Linked DNA regions of Danio rerio. The protein of the gene in region 3 interacts with the protein of the main gene of each other region in a biochemical or structural test. Links are inferred from orthologs where the notes say so. Each region holds a gene or a part of one and is shown on either strand. Other genes may lie near its edges.

Evidence for each region. The genes of interacting proteins can lie anywhere in the genome.
Region 1: the proteins of poli (region 3) and pcna form a complex in vitro, tested with the Homo sapiens proteins (4 studies listed by BioGRID, with this or other methods). The link is inferred for Danio rerio from reciprocal best matches to the Homo sapiens genes POLI and PCNA.
Region 2: the proteins of poli (region 3) and polh interact in far-western blotting, tested with the Homo sapiens proteins (2 studies listed by BioGRID). The link is inferred for Danio rerio from reciprocal best matches to the Homo sapiens genes POLI and POLH.

Annotation. Positions count from the first base shown.
Region 1 is NC_133185.1:46,058,740-46,062,748, forward strand, and holds the start of pcna (proliferating cell nuclear antigen), read right to left. Parts: upstream 2,813-4,009; 5' UTR 2,551-2,812; coding exon 2,330-2,550; exon of another isoform or gene 2,277-2,329; coding exon of another isoform or gene 2,245-2,276; exon of another isoform or gene 2,055-2,244; intron 1,851-2,054; coding exon 1,753-1,850; intron 1,331-1,752; coding exon 1,263-1,330; intron 756-1,262; coding exon 561-755; intron 1-560. Other genes in the region: E3 ubiquitin-protein ligase TRIM69, read left to right, coding at 2,245-2,276. UniProt on the Homo sapiens protein: Auxiliary protein of DNA polymerase delta and epsilon, is involved in the control of eukaryotic DNA replication by increasing the polymerase's processibility during elongation of the leading strand.
Region 2 is NC_133188.1:722,645-726,838, forward strand, and holds the start of polh (DNA polymerase eta), read right to left. Parts: upstream 2,813-4,194; 5' UTR 2,741-2,812; coding exon 2,604-2,740; intron 1,076-2,603; coding exon 941-1,075; intron 1-940. UniProt on the Homo sapiens protein: DNA polymerase specifically involved in the DNA repair by translesion synthesis (TLS). Due to low processivity on both damaged and normal DNA, cooperates with the heterotetrameric (REV3L, REV7, POLD2 and POLD3) POLZ complex for complete bypass of DNA lesions.
Region 3 is NC_133180.1:19,648,491-19,652,512, forward strand, and holds the start of poli (DNA polymerase iota), read right to left. Parts: upstream 2,808-4,022; 5' UTR 2,779-2,807; exon of another isoform or gene 2,686-2,778; coding exon 2,616-2,685; intron 1,705-2,615; coding exon 1,582-1,704; intron 864-1,581; coding exon 699-863; intron 1-698. Other genes in the region: pgam5 (serine/threonine-protein phosphatase PGAM5, mitochondrial precursor), read left to right, coding at 3,616-3,812. UniProt on the Homo sapiens protein: Error-prone DNA polymerase specifically involved in DNA repair. Plays an important role in translesion synthesis, where the normal high-fidelity DNA polymerases cannot proceed and DNA synthesis stalls. Favors Hoogsteen base-pairing in the active site.

The sequences.
Region 1 (4,009 bases), on a different chromosome or scaffold from region 3:
AACTCTTAACCCTCTGATAAAATCCCAGATAATTATTAAATCACTTATAACCTACTCTTTTAGGGTAGCTTTTTAGATTTATTATTATTGTAAGCGTTTGATTATATTCATTGCATTTTTTTTGCATTCATCCTGTATGCATCTTTAACAGCTGCACATTATGTCTGTAAAGTGCCCCGAGATGCTACTTTTAAAGGTGCTAAATGAAAATAAAGCTGCTTATTATATAAATCTGATCAATCAGATGGGGCCTTTACTACCTTTAGCCCCGCCTCCTAAGTAGTTGCTGTTCTGCTATTGGCTGGATTGGCTTAAAGGTGAAATCAGAGCTAAAAAATGATTCTCACTAATAGTGCTTTAAAGACTAAAGGTTTGCATCTTGACAGTTTTAAGTCTGAATTAGATCTGGAAAATATATTTTACTTGTTTATTGCAAAATCATGAAATAATTTTTTTAAAACAGCTAATTAAATTGACTTTTTCAGAGAAATGTTTGATTATAGAATATATATTGCATATTTTTCCCAGTATCGTGCAGCCTTAAATGAATAGTATGTTACCGCTTCATCCTCCTTGTCGACGTTGCTGGTCTGTGAGAGCTTGATGTTGCCTGTGCCCAGCTCTCCGCTGGCAGAGAACTTCACGCCATCCTTGGCACACGAGATCATGACAGCATCACCAATCTGTGACAGATCCCTGCAGATGCGGGCAAACTCACCCGACGGCATCTTCACCACACAACTGTATTCCTGCTCCTGAGGGGAAGAGAATAAAGCATGATCATTGCAGACAAACATCCACGATCATATCAGAAATAAACAGGAATCAAGAGAGGGAAACTCAATAAACTTTAAGACCTCATCGCCATTTTAGGTTTTAACTTAACATTGGTGACAATTCAACTTGTAGTATATTTACTAAATACTGATTGTAAGAAACGAATCCTAAACTAAATCGGTCATGTACTGAATAAAAATGCTAATCCCAACAGATGGCACCTATAGAACAGCAGGAAACATAGGCTTGCCTTTATTACTGCAGTAGACAAAGCAGTGTGATGCCAAATCTAGCAGGATTTTATCAATTTCATAAACCACACAGATTAAATTTAGGCAAACTTTAGCACACAACTACACATTATATAATCATAAAATGACCAAAACAATTATATCTTGTAAAACAACAGTTAAGGCTGTTTAATACCAAATTGATTTATCAACTTTTAATGACCCTGCAGACACCCTGTTATAATAAAGTCTTACTGGAATGCCAAGCTGCTCCACATCCAGATCCATCAGTTTCATCTCATAGTCGGACACTTTCTCTTGATCTGAAATGAGATGTAAATATTAGTATGGATTATTAGCTCTCCAGCAAAACTTAACTTTTGGTTTCATAGTAATAGTTGATAACATGGTGAAGAAAATCCATACTAGAAGCATTTTTTTTATGTGATGTTATTAACCACAAAATGGCTCCAGTATCTATGCGAATTTCATTCTTACATTTTTGGAGAAAATTATTATTAGAAAATTATTTTTAAATATTAAGTATTAATTATTTAGCTTAACTTTAATGATTCATTTTAAACCAAAGCCCATGTTTTTAACAGGTATTGCTGATAAATCGATATTAAAATACTGCAAATATAAATTTAGCAACATAAAATAAATTCATAATAAAAAAAAGTTTTTTTTAATTGTACACTATCAAAAGTATTGCTATTCCTAGTTTAAAAAGAAGTTAACTTACTGAGCGTTTCAAAGACCAGTGCCAAGGCGTCAGCATTGTCTTCAGCTCTGAGTGTGATGATGTCTTCATTTCCAGCACACTTCAGAATCTTCGACATGCTAGGAAACAGATGAATAATAATCAAAACACGTTCACTTCAGGTAGAAAAACACCATATTGATCGTAAAATGGTTTACCATTTACATTCGAAACAGTCATGGCATACACAAAAAGTGTCTAAGCAGGTTTTCTTTGTCTAACACCAGAGCCATGTTGTCATTCAGCAACCCGGCATTTTCTTTCCCGCCAACAAGCTTAAGCGCGCGCAAGTGACGTCACGATCAGTAGAGCGTGGGACGAATGCAGGAAACTGCGCGCCAAATTAAACTGATAGCCTATTTAAAACACAACCGTAAAACGGCATACTTTAATAACAACTACTGTAAATAAAATACTTTTGTCACTTTATAGTCTAAAAATGGCGCGCTGCTGTGTAGAGGCGCAGCCCCGGGCATGCGCAGACATGTTCAAACTTCACTCACCAAGTAAATACGAGTCAAATAACACAAAAGGCGCTTGATTTAGTCAGTGATTTTACCTGCTCAGATTGACCCCCATGGCTAGGTTTCTGTCGCAGCGGTAGGAGTCGAACCCGTCACTCCGGAGCGTCAGCTGCACCAGAGACACATGAGAGGAGTCCATACTCTGCAGAGAAATGCCCGACGAGCTCACATCCCAGCAAGCCTCGGTGATCAGGTCTTTCAGAGCCTCCAGGACCTTCTTAAGGATAGATCCCTGAACCAGACGTGCCTCAAACATTGTGCTGCTTTCTTAGTTTAGAGTAGGAGGAACTAAAGTTATCTAATCCTGTTACGACACAAGCTGCGGCCTGGTTAACTGCTTGTTTTCCAGCACAGGAAAGCAGAATCCTAAACTATCCTAGAGTTTAGCAGGTACTAATGCAGAGGAGGCACGGTGCAGATGTGCTGTCCACTGTTCTGGCGAGGCTCTGAATGTAACTGCGCGCGCTTTCGCCGGGATTTTGTTAAACTGACCCACTGTTGCCTTCGTCATTTCCGCTGACGTTTGACTCCTCCTGGAACGCAGACAGAACTGCGGACACTGACCAAAAGAGGGCGCAATTTGGTCAGAAGGTATGAGTTATTCACAACATTTATGAATACCCATTACAGTGCGTTTTAATAACCTTTACCCCCACCCAAACCCTAAACTGACCCGTCACTGTGGTGTAAAATATTATATATTGTCGTACAGTGTGAAAAATGATGCTATGTCAACGTGCGCATGCCCAAGTATCCACAACTGTATCCCTTTTTTTGTTTCTTTGACAAATTACTGTGCTGTTGCTAGAAGGGATACAGCTACGGTCGGCAGTTAACGAGAATTATTTATAAAATTTATAAATACCCATTACAGTGCGTTTTAATAACGTATACCCCCTAACCAAACCCTAAATTGACCAGTCACAGTAACGTAAATTATTAATTATTGTTGTGCAGTTTACCAAAGATCAGACTATGTTGATGTGCGCATGCCCAAGTATACGCACCTGTATCCCTTTTTTGTTTCTGTGACAAATTACTGTGCTGTTGCTAGAAGGGATACAGCTACGGTCAGCAGTTAACGAGAATTATTTATAAAAATTATAAATACCCATTACAGTGCGTTTTAATAACGTATACCCCTAACCAAACCCTAAATCGACAAGTCACAGTAACGTAAAATATTAATTATTGTTGTGCAGTGTACCAACGATTGATGTTGATGTGCGCATGCCCAAGTATCCGCAACTTTTTGTGTAACACATGTTTTGTTGCTAAAGGATATAGCTGCGGTCTTCAGTTAACAATAACTACTTATAATATTTATGAATACCCATTATAATGCTTTTTAATAACGTCTACCTTACCCAAATCCTAAATCGACCCATCACAGTAACGTAAAATACTGTTGTGTCACAAAAATCATGCTATGTTGATGTGCGCATGATCAAGTATCCCACAACTGTATCCCTTCTTTTGTTTGTGTAACACATTTATGTATGTATATATATATATATATATATATATATATATATATATATATATATACATACATACATACATACATATATGTGTTACACAAACAAAAGAAGGGATACAGTTGGGGATACTTGAGCATATATATATATATATATATATATATATATATATATATATATATATATATATATATATATGTATGTATGTGTGTGTGTGTGTGTGTGTGTATGTATATA
Region 2 (4,194 bases), on a different chromosome or scaffold from region 3:
ACACAAGGTCCAAAAAATACTATGTTAGGGATACATATTAAATAGGGGTGGCACAGTGGTTAGCACTAAGGTCACTGGTTCGAGTCCCAGCTGGGTCAGTTGGAGTTTCTGTGTGGAGTTTGCATGTTCTCCAAGTGTTGGCGTGGGCTTCCTCTGGGTGCTCCGGTTTCCCCCACAGTCCAAACACTATAGGGGAACTGATGAATTAATGTGGCCATAGTGTATGAGTGTATGAGTGTGTGTGTGTGAGTGTGTTTGTGTGTGTGTGTTTGTGTGTTTGTGTGTGTTTGTTTGTGTTTGTTTGTGTTTGTGTTTGTGTGTGTGTGTGTGTGTGTGTGTGTGTGTGTGTGTGTGTGTGTGTGTGTGTGTGCGAATAAGTGTGTATAGGTGTTTCCAAGTGGGTTGCTGCTGGAAGGGCATGGGCTCCATAAACAATATGCAGGGATAGTTGGTGGTTCATTCCGCTGTGGAGACCCCTGATGAATAAGGGGACTAAGCCGAAGGAAAATGAATAAATGATAAATATTAAATAAAAGATTCATAAACAGGATCCCAGTCACAATTTAAATGTATTTTATTTGGATTCCTAAAGATATTCGGTGACCAAACTCTTAATTTAATGCATGTATCTGATTAATCAAACTGTTTAGTTTAAATGCACCAAAACATATTGGCTATATTTATTGAAAAAAATGATAAATAAAAATAAAAATGTGCTTTTTTCAAAGGAGGTGTGCTCATTTATGCTGAGCACTGTGCGCTTTTAATTATTAGAAACACAAATAGACATAATTAATATGTCTTATATCTGACATGGAGTTCTGTATGGGACTATTCATTGCAATTAATCGCAATAAATTCTTTGACATTTAATCTTCATCTAAATTGTAATTAGAAAGTAATAACTGTTGAAGTGGCTCTGAGAATAAACAGCTCTTACTGTGTGAGATCCGCCTTCCCGTGAGCCTCTGGGACCCGAGCCACCTGCAGATCTGGACACAGCTTTCTGGCATCATCCGCGAACATGTTCCTGCCGACTCCATGAGCTCTGGCCTCGTAACTCACCGCTATAATGCTGGACACAGTAATCACAGCACTTTAACACAGATCCTCTGAGGAAGACTGAGGTCCAGTTGGCTTTATTTTCACACAAGTGTTCATTTTAATGCTCTCTATAGTGTTTACGGCTACTTTAAATGTTGGGTCTGAAATTCAAAACAACATCAGCACTATTTATTATTATTATTATTAACTGACTAAACAATGTTGTGCTTTGATATTCACTGAATATATTCTGAATGTGTGAATATAAAGCCAATGTTTACCTCATTATCACATTATCAGCCGGTGGCTATCAAAATACAACACTGATCACAGTCAGTAAATAGTGCTGATGTTGTTTTTACTCATACTTACATGCTGTTTCACACCCAATATTCAAAATACCATGGTAAACTATACAGGGAGGGTGTCAGGAGTCGTCACTGAATGAATGTGCAAATATAAAACCAACTTTACCCCAATAAAGATTACTATAGTATATTTGTAATGTAGGTCGGTAACATTACTAAACTAATAAAATGCATTACACATGTCTTTTTAAATCATGTATTTGAAATCTGTAGTGAAATAAAGCTCCCAGCTCTGATTATAATGTATATTTCTGCTTATATCTGTGCTGTTTTGCTCATTTCTGAGCAGTTTTTCTGTCAGTTTTCTATTGGGGTGAAGTTGGTTTAATATGCTGAAGCATTAATTGAGTATTTTAAATGCTCTAATATACAGTATAATACACTTTACTAAAGCATAGTTAAAAATTGCTATAGTATATTAGTGATGTAGGACGGTACTTAACTTGACAGAATACATTACAAATTACTTTTTAATGAATGTATTTTGTGATAACGAAGTAAAGCTGGTTATATGTTAACACATTTGCTCATTTCTGAACAGTGACAACTTGTGAAACGCTAAACTTAATATTTGGTCTGAAATAGCATGCAGGTCTGACTTCACAATGACATTATCATTATTTTATTGACTATAAGCAGTGTTGTACTTTGATATTCACTGACTGATAATGTGATTTCCCCATTTATGGTTTGCAAAAAACACTTTTCTGAAATTATATGATGAATATAAAGCCAACTTTTACCTCAATATCACATTATCAGCCGGTGGCTATCAAAATACAACACTGATCACAGTCAGTAAATAGCGCAGATGTTGTTTTTACTCATACTTACATGCTGTTTCACACCCAATATTCAAAATACCATGGTAAACTATACAGGGAGGGTGTCAGGAGTCATCACTGAATGAATGAGTGAAAATAAAACAAACTTTATATTAAGGAGAAAGTCTGAATGTGTGCAAATAAAACCAACTTTAGCCCAATTAAAATTACTGTAACTGTATATCTGCGATGCAGGACATTACTAAACGTGACTAATCTAACGGAATACGCTACACATGTCTTTTTAAAGTATGTATTTTGAGATCTGTAGTGAAATAAAGCTCCCAGCTCTGGTTATATTGTATATTTCTGCTTAAATCTGTGCTGTTTTGCTCATTTGTGTGCGGGTTTCTGTCAGTTTCCTCACCCTCCGCCTTTCCAGGTCTTGTACTGCGCCACAACGCAGGGTTTGTTCTTCAGCTCGGGCTTCAGTCTCTGCTCCACCTGCACATAGAAGCAGTCCATGTCCACCAGCGCGACCACTCGCTCCTTCCCGAAATCCATCAGCGTGAGATCATAAATCTGGATTATTATGAAAGTCTGTCTGTGTTATGGAACTTCCTGGTGTTCTCCGCGGGTAAAGCTCGAGCTCTTCTTCTTCGTCTGTCTCTGTGTGGAGCAGCGCGAGTGTGATCTGCGCACTGCCCTCTGGCGCACTTGAAAATAAATATTGAGTTAAATTATTATTTTTATAGTTAAATATTTTTACATTACAGCGAGGGTTTAGGTAGGGATAGTCAGAAGTCAATAAAATACAATTCATGAATAATTTATTAAAATAATATAAATAACTGACATTAACAGGTATGCCATTCTCACGGGTTGTTGCTAGAAGGGATACAGCTGCTGACAGAAGTTAACGAGAACTGTTTATTAAATTAAATTAACTACTAATTGCATTTTATTAACGTCCATTTCTACCCAACACTAAACCCAACCCTCATTGTAATGTAAAAACACTAACTATAGCAAGAATTATTAATATTAATTATTAAATTACCCGTTCATTGTATTTCATTAACATCTACCGCTAAACCCAAACCTCACAGTGATGTAAAACAGTAATTATACAGAGTATTATTAATAATATTTAATAAATTATCCATGTAATTGTATTTTAATAACACCAACCCCAACCCACAGTAATGTACAATTATATTATACCGAGTATTATTCATATTATTTATTAAATTACCTATTAAATTGTATTTTATTAATGCCCCAACCCTAAACCCATCACAGTAACGTAAAAAACGTAATTATACGGAGTATTTTTCATATTATTTAATAAATTGCCCATTAGATTGTATTTAATATCTATTCTAAACTAATCTATTATATTGTCTATACATAAGTAAATACTCTAAAACACTCTATATCTAAAATGCTCTGGTGATTAATCCATAAAATATTATTTCTATATACATATACTCCATCTAAACACAAAAATACTCTGTATCTGGGGATGGAGACATGAAATACTCTATATCTACATACTGTATCTGGTATACTGCATACTGTATCTACCATACTGTATCTGGTGATACATAAACTTTATATTTACTCTCTATATATCTAAATACTCTAAAATACTCTATATCTGGGGATTGATACTCTAAATCACTCTATATCTACTCTGGGATACTCTCTCTCTCTCTCTCTCTCTCTCTCTCTCTCTCTCTCTCTCTATATATATATATATATATATATATATATATATATATATATAGCTAAATACTCTAAAATACTCTATATCTACTCTGGGATACTCTCTCTATAATATCTAAATACTCTAAAATACAAATGTTTGGGTATTGATACTCCAAATACTCTAAATGTATCTGTAAATACTCAAAAATATTTTAAGATTATGTTTATAAATAATATATTAAAAAAAAAAATATATATATATATATATATATATATAATAAATATAAAAATGTTTTGATTGAAGTGTC
Region 3 (4,022 bases):
CTATAAACCACTTTTATCTTTACTATATTTTATTTATCTATGCATGTAATTTATTTGTTATTTATTTTACAAGAATCACTCCTCTACATAATATGATCTACTTATAATAAGTTTACTTATAATCTAATGAGAATAAGTTGGCAGGCATGTAGATGCAATGTAACTTAAATTCAACAAACGGACCATTAAAATAAAGTGTGACCAAATAACCCAATATGTTTAAAGAAATTTAAGAAATGTGCTAATGTAACATATTTGTTTTTTATGAAAAACAATGCTAAAGTAATTTATTATTTTGCGAAAATATTCTTTGTGTGTCAGAATGTTTGTCTTTGTTTTAATCAGAGTAACAATGTCCACTGCCAGTTCATCCAATTATATTCAGGCACCCCACACTGTAAAAAAGTCTGGGTTACACACAATTGATTTGAAAAAATTATCTACCTTCTTCTGCATTTGATTGATATGATATATATAAAAAACTGTTGTTGTACTCAATGACATTTTAGTAGATTTTAATGTACGTTCATTTAAAAATGTATTGGAAAAAGGGACACTTTTTAATCTTTTTACTTTGAAAATGAAGTTGTATTATTAAACTTGTTTTGATGTTTAAAAAACCCTTTTTGTGTTTGACCCACTTGCACTTTATGGACACATATGCATAGCAGTACACATTAAACATATGATGTTCTCACCAGTGACTTTGTAGGACATTTCTCTGTAATGAGTGAGATCTTCTCCTTTTACAAGCACCAGCTGTGGACATTTCTCCACTGCATCTGTCACTGACATCAGCTTGTTCACGCCAAGCTCTCTTGCCACATAATTACTGGTTACAATAATATATTTCTGCTGTATCCCTAAAGAAAAGTAAAGACATGACATTACAAAAGACAAGAATTACAAAAGTATTTTATTTGAATTAAATGGCAGAAAACACAAAAACGTGCTCATAAGTTTTGCAAAAGAATATAAAACTAAATGTAAACAGTCAAATAATAAAGATTTTATACTGTGTAAAAAAAAATTTGTATTACAGTTGAACTCAGAACTATTAACTCCTCAGATTTATTAGTTCTCTGTTTCTTTTTTCCCCAATTTCTGTTTAACGGAGAGAAGATTTTTTCAACACATTTATAATAATAATAGATTTAATAACTCATTTCTAATAAGTGACTTATTTTATCTTTGCTTTGATGACAGTAAATAATGCTTTTCTTTATATTTTACACTTCTATACAGCTTAAAGTGACATTTAAAGGCTTAACTAGGTTAATTAGGTGAACTAACCAGGCAAATTATTGTATATATTGATGCTTTGTTTTGTAGACAATCGAAAATAAAATTAGCTTAAAGGGGCAAATAATATTGACCTTAAAATAACTTTTAAAAATTTAAAAACTGCTTTTATTCTAGCCAAAATAAAACAAGACTTTCCCCAGAAAAAAAAACATATTATCAGATACTGTGAAAATGTTCTTGCTCTGTTAAACATCATTTGGGAAATATTTAAAACAAAGAAAAAAAATTTTAAAGGGGAGCTAATAATTCTGACTTCAACTGTATTTGGTGGTTTACCAAGAGGTTTGGTCCGGAGAGCTGGATTTCGGATCATCTCAACTTGTGCATAAAAACAGTCCAGGTCAAAATGCAGGATCACTCTCTGGGATGTCAATGAAACTCTATCAGTGGAACTTCCTTCTGAAATAATAAGTCAAGACACACATAAAACAGATACTGTATTCGTTAGTTTTCTTTTCGGCTTAGTTCCTTTATTAATCAGGGTAAGTTAAACAGATAACTTATCCAGCACATTTTTACGCAGCGGATGCCCGTCCAGCCACAACCCAACACTGGGAAACACCCATACACTTTTCCATCCATACACTATGTGTGAATTAAGCTTTAATCCCACACGGAATCAGCGCATGCAGAATTCCACAAAATTTTAGCCCATCGTTGATTCGGTTTATTTACTTGTGTAAATGTGTGTAAATTTATATTTATTTCAGTTTTTTAATTAATTTCAGTAATATTATTGACTAACATAAAAAAAATGTTTATATGATTTATTTACTATACAGTGTGTAAAGTAATAATTTCTGTCTTTTAGTAGATATATTATATGACATACTTGCTTTGTTTACCAAATAAAGAGGATCTAATTGGATTTGCATTTTAAACATTAAATAAAAGTTTAAACGGTATTGTTTTTTTATTACATATATTAGGGTTTTAGTTATGATACTCCCTAAATAATTCCGCAGATTTTTAACAATTCTGCGCAGAAATAGCAAACAATGTCTGCAGATTCCGTCTGGCACTACCTATAATAACGCATGTCTTTGGACTGTGGGGGGAATCAGAGCACCAAGAGGAAACCCACGCGAACAGGGGGAGGACATACAAACTCCACACAGAAATGCCAACTGACCCAGCCGAGGCAGTCACCTAAACCAAACCTTAATACAGTCTATATTTCAAAACTGCCATGACACATTATGCCAAAGAAACTAACACTTTATTCTAAAGACACATGAATACTTTGAGTAAATGTTGTCTACAAAAACATATTTATGGTGAAGTTCAGGGTTGTCCAGATAGAAACCCACCAGTCTCCAAAATGTCTGACTCTAAACTGCGTTCCCAGTCATTATTGTCTTCCTCTTCGTCCGAGTCCATCTTTACAACAACGAAATGAACAGTTGTGAATGACAATACCAAACTAAATAAAACATTACTGTAAATCAACAACAGCAAAACATGTCGACACACCAATCAAAACATAACCAGCATGCATGTGCAGCATTTGCTGACATTTACTGCCACCTGCAGGTCTGGAGTAAAATGCAGGAAAAAAAGATTGACATTTATTCATTTTTTCTGTGCAGTTGTTTAAATTGATTGTGATCCATTTTATTTAAAGTTATACAGAAGTAAAAAAAAATATATATATTTTTTTTAAAAACCTAGCATGATTAATTCTATAAAATGGAAGAACGCATTTCATTATTACACAATATTATCATTAATACACAAACCACAAACGCAATAATGTTATGTTAGATAAAAAAATTAAATATATTATACAAAATATAAAGCGAAATTTGTTGTATGATAATGGTGTTAATCCAATAGCATTAGATTACCTTTTTTATTTAATTAACTTATTTTGTTTATTCAAATTGAATGCTTAAAATAAACACAGAATATATCTAAAACCATTTAATATATCTATTAGCTAATATAAAAATAATACTGACAAAACATGCTAGTATTAAAAGGTGTTACTATTATATCATGGAGGCTTTTATTTTTCATGGTCGTGCGGCTGTCTTTTGTCGCTGCCTTCACAAATGAAGTCGTGACTCTGCTTAAGGAAGTTAATTTTGTGTTAAAACCAACTATATTCTACTGGATTAAACTCTCATACAGGTTTGGGGAAAATAAAGCACATGTTAGAAACAGCAGGACTTCTACGTCCTCTTTGTTCGACGCTGTGAGATAGAAGCAAACAGCGGCACTTCCTAAGCAGTCCGACTCTCTCATTGTGCGTCACGGCGCTGAAAAGCAGCTCCGCGGTGACTCCGGTGTTTTGTGCGGGTTTGAAGCATGTCTTTTCGGAGGGCGCTAAGTCTCGCATGCGGGTTCGCTGGCGGATCCGCGGTACTCGTGTGTGCGGCGGTGGTGGCTGATAAAAATGGGTATTTTGGAGAGGGACGCCGAGTCACAGAAACTCTGGCAGCCGTAAACGCAGCGCATCCTCCGGCATGGCCCACTGCGAACGGGTGGGATTATAACTGGGACAAGTAAGCAATCAAGAGTCACTTCTGATTAATTATTATTGAATATAAGTAATATTTAAGTTATATGGAGGAATACTATATGGTGCAAGTTCAGTATAACAGTAAAGCCATGTTAAAAACCCATAGCAGGTGTTGGTTAGTGTTTATGGGGCAACCTAATTAGGTTAAACGCCTTAATTAGTGGTGATAATTAATAGATCACCCAGTTTAAGC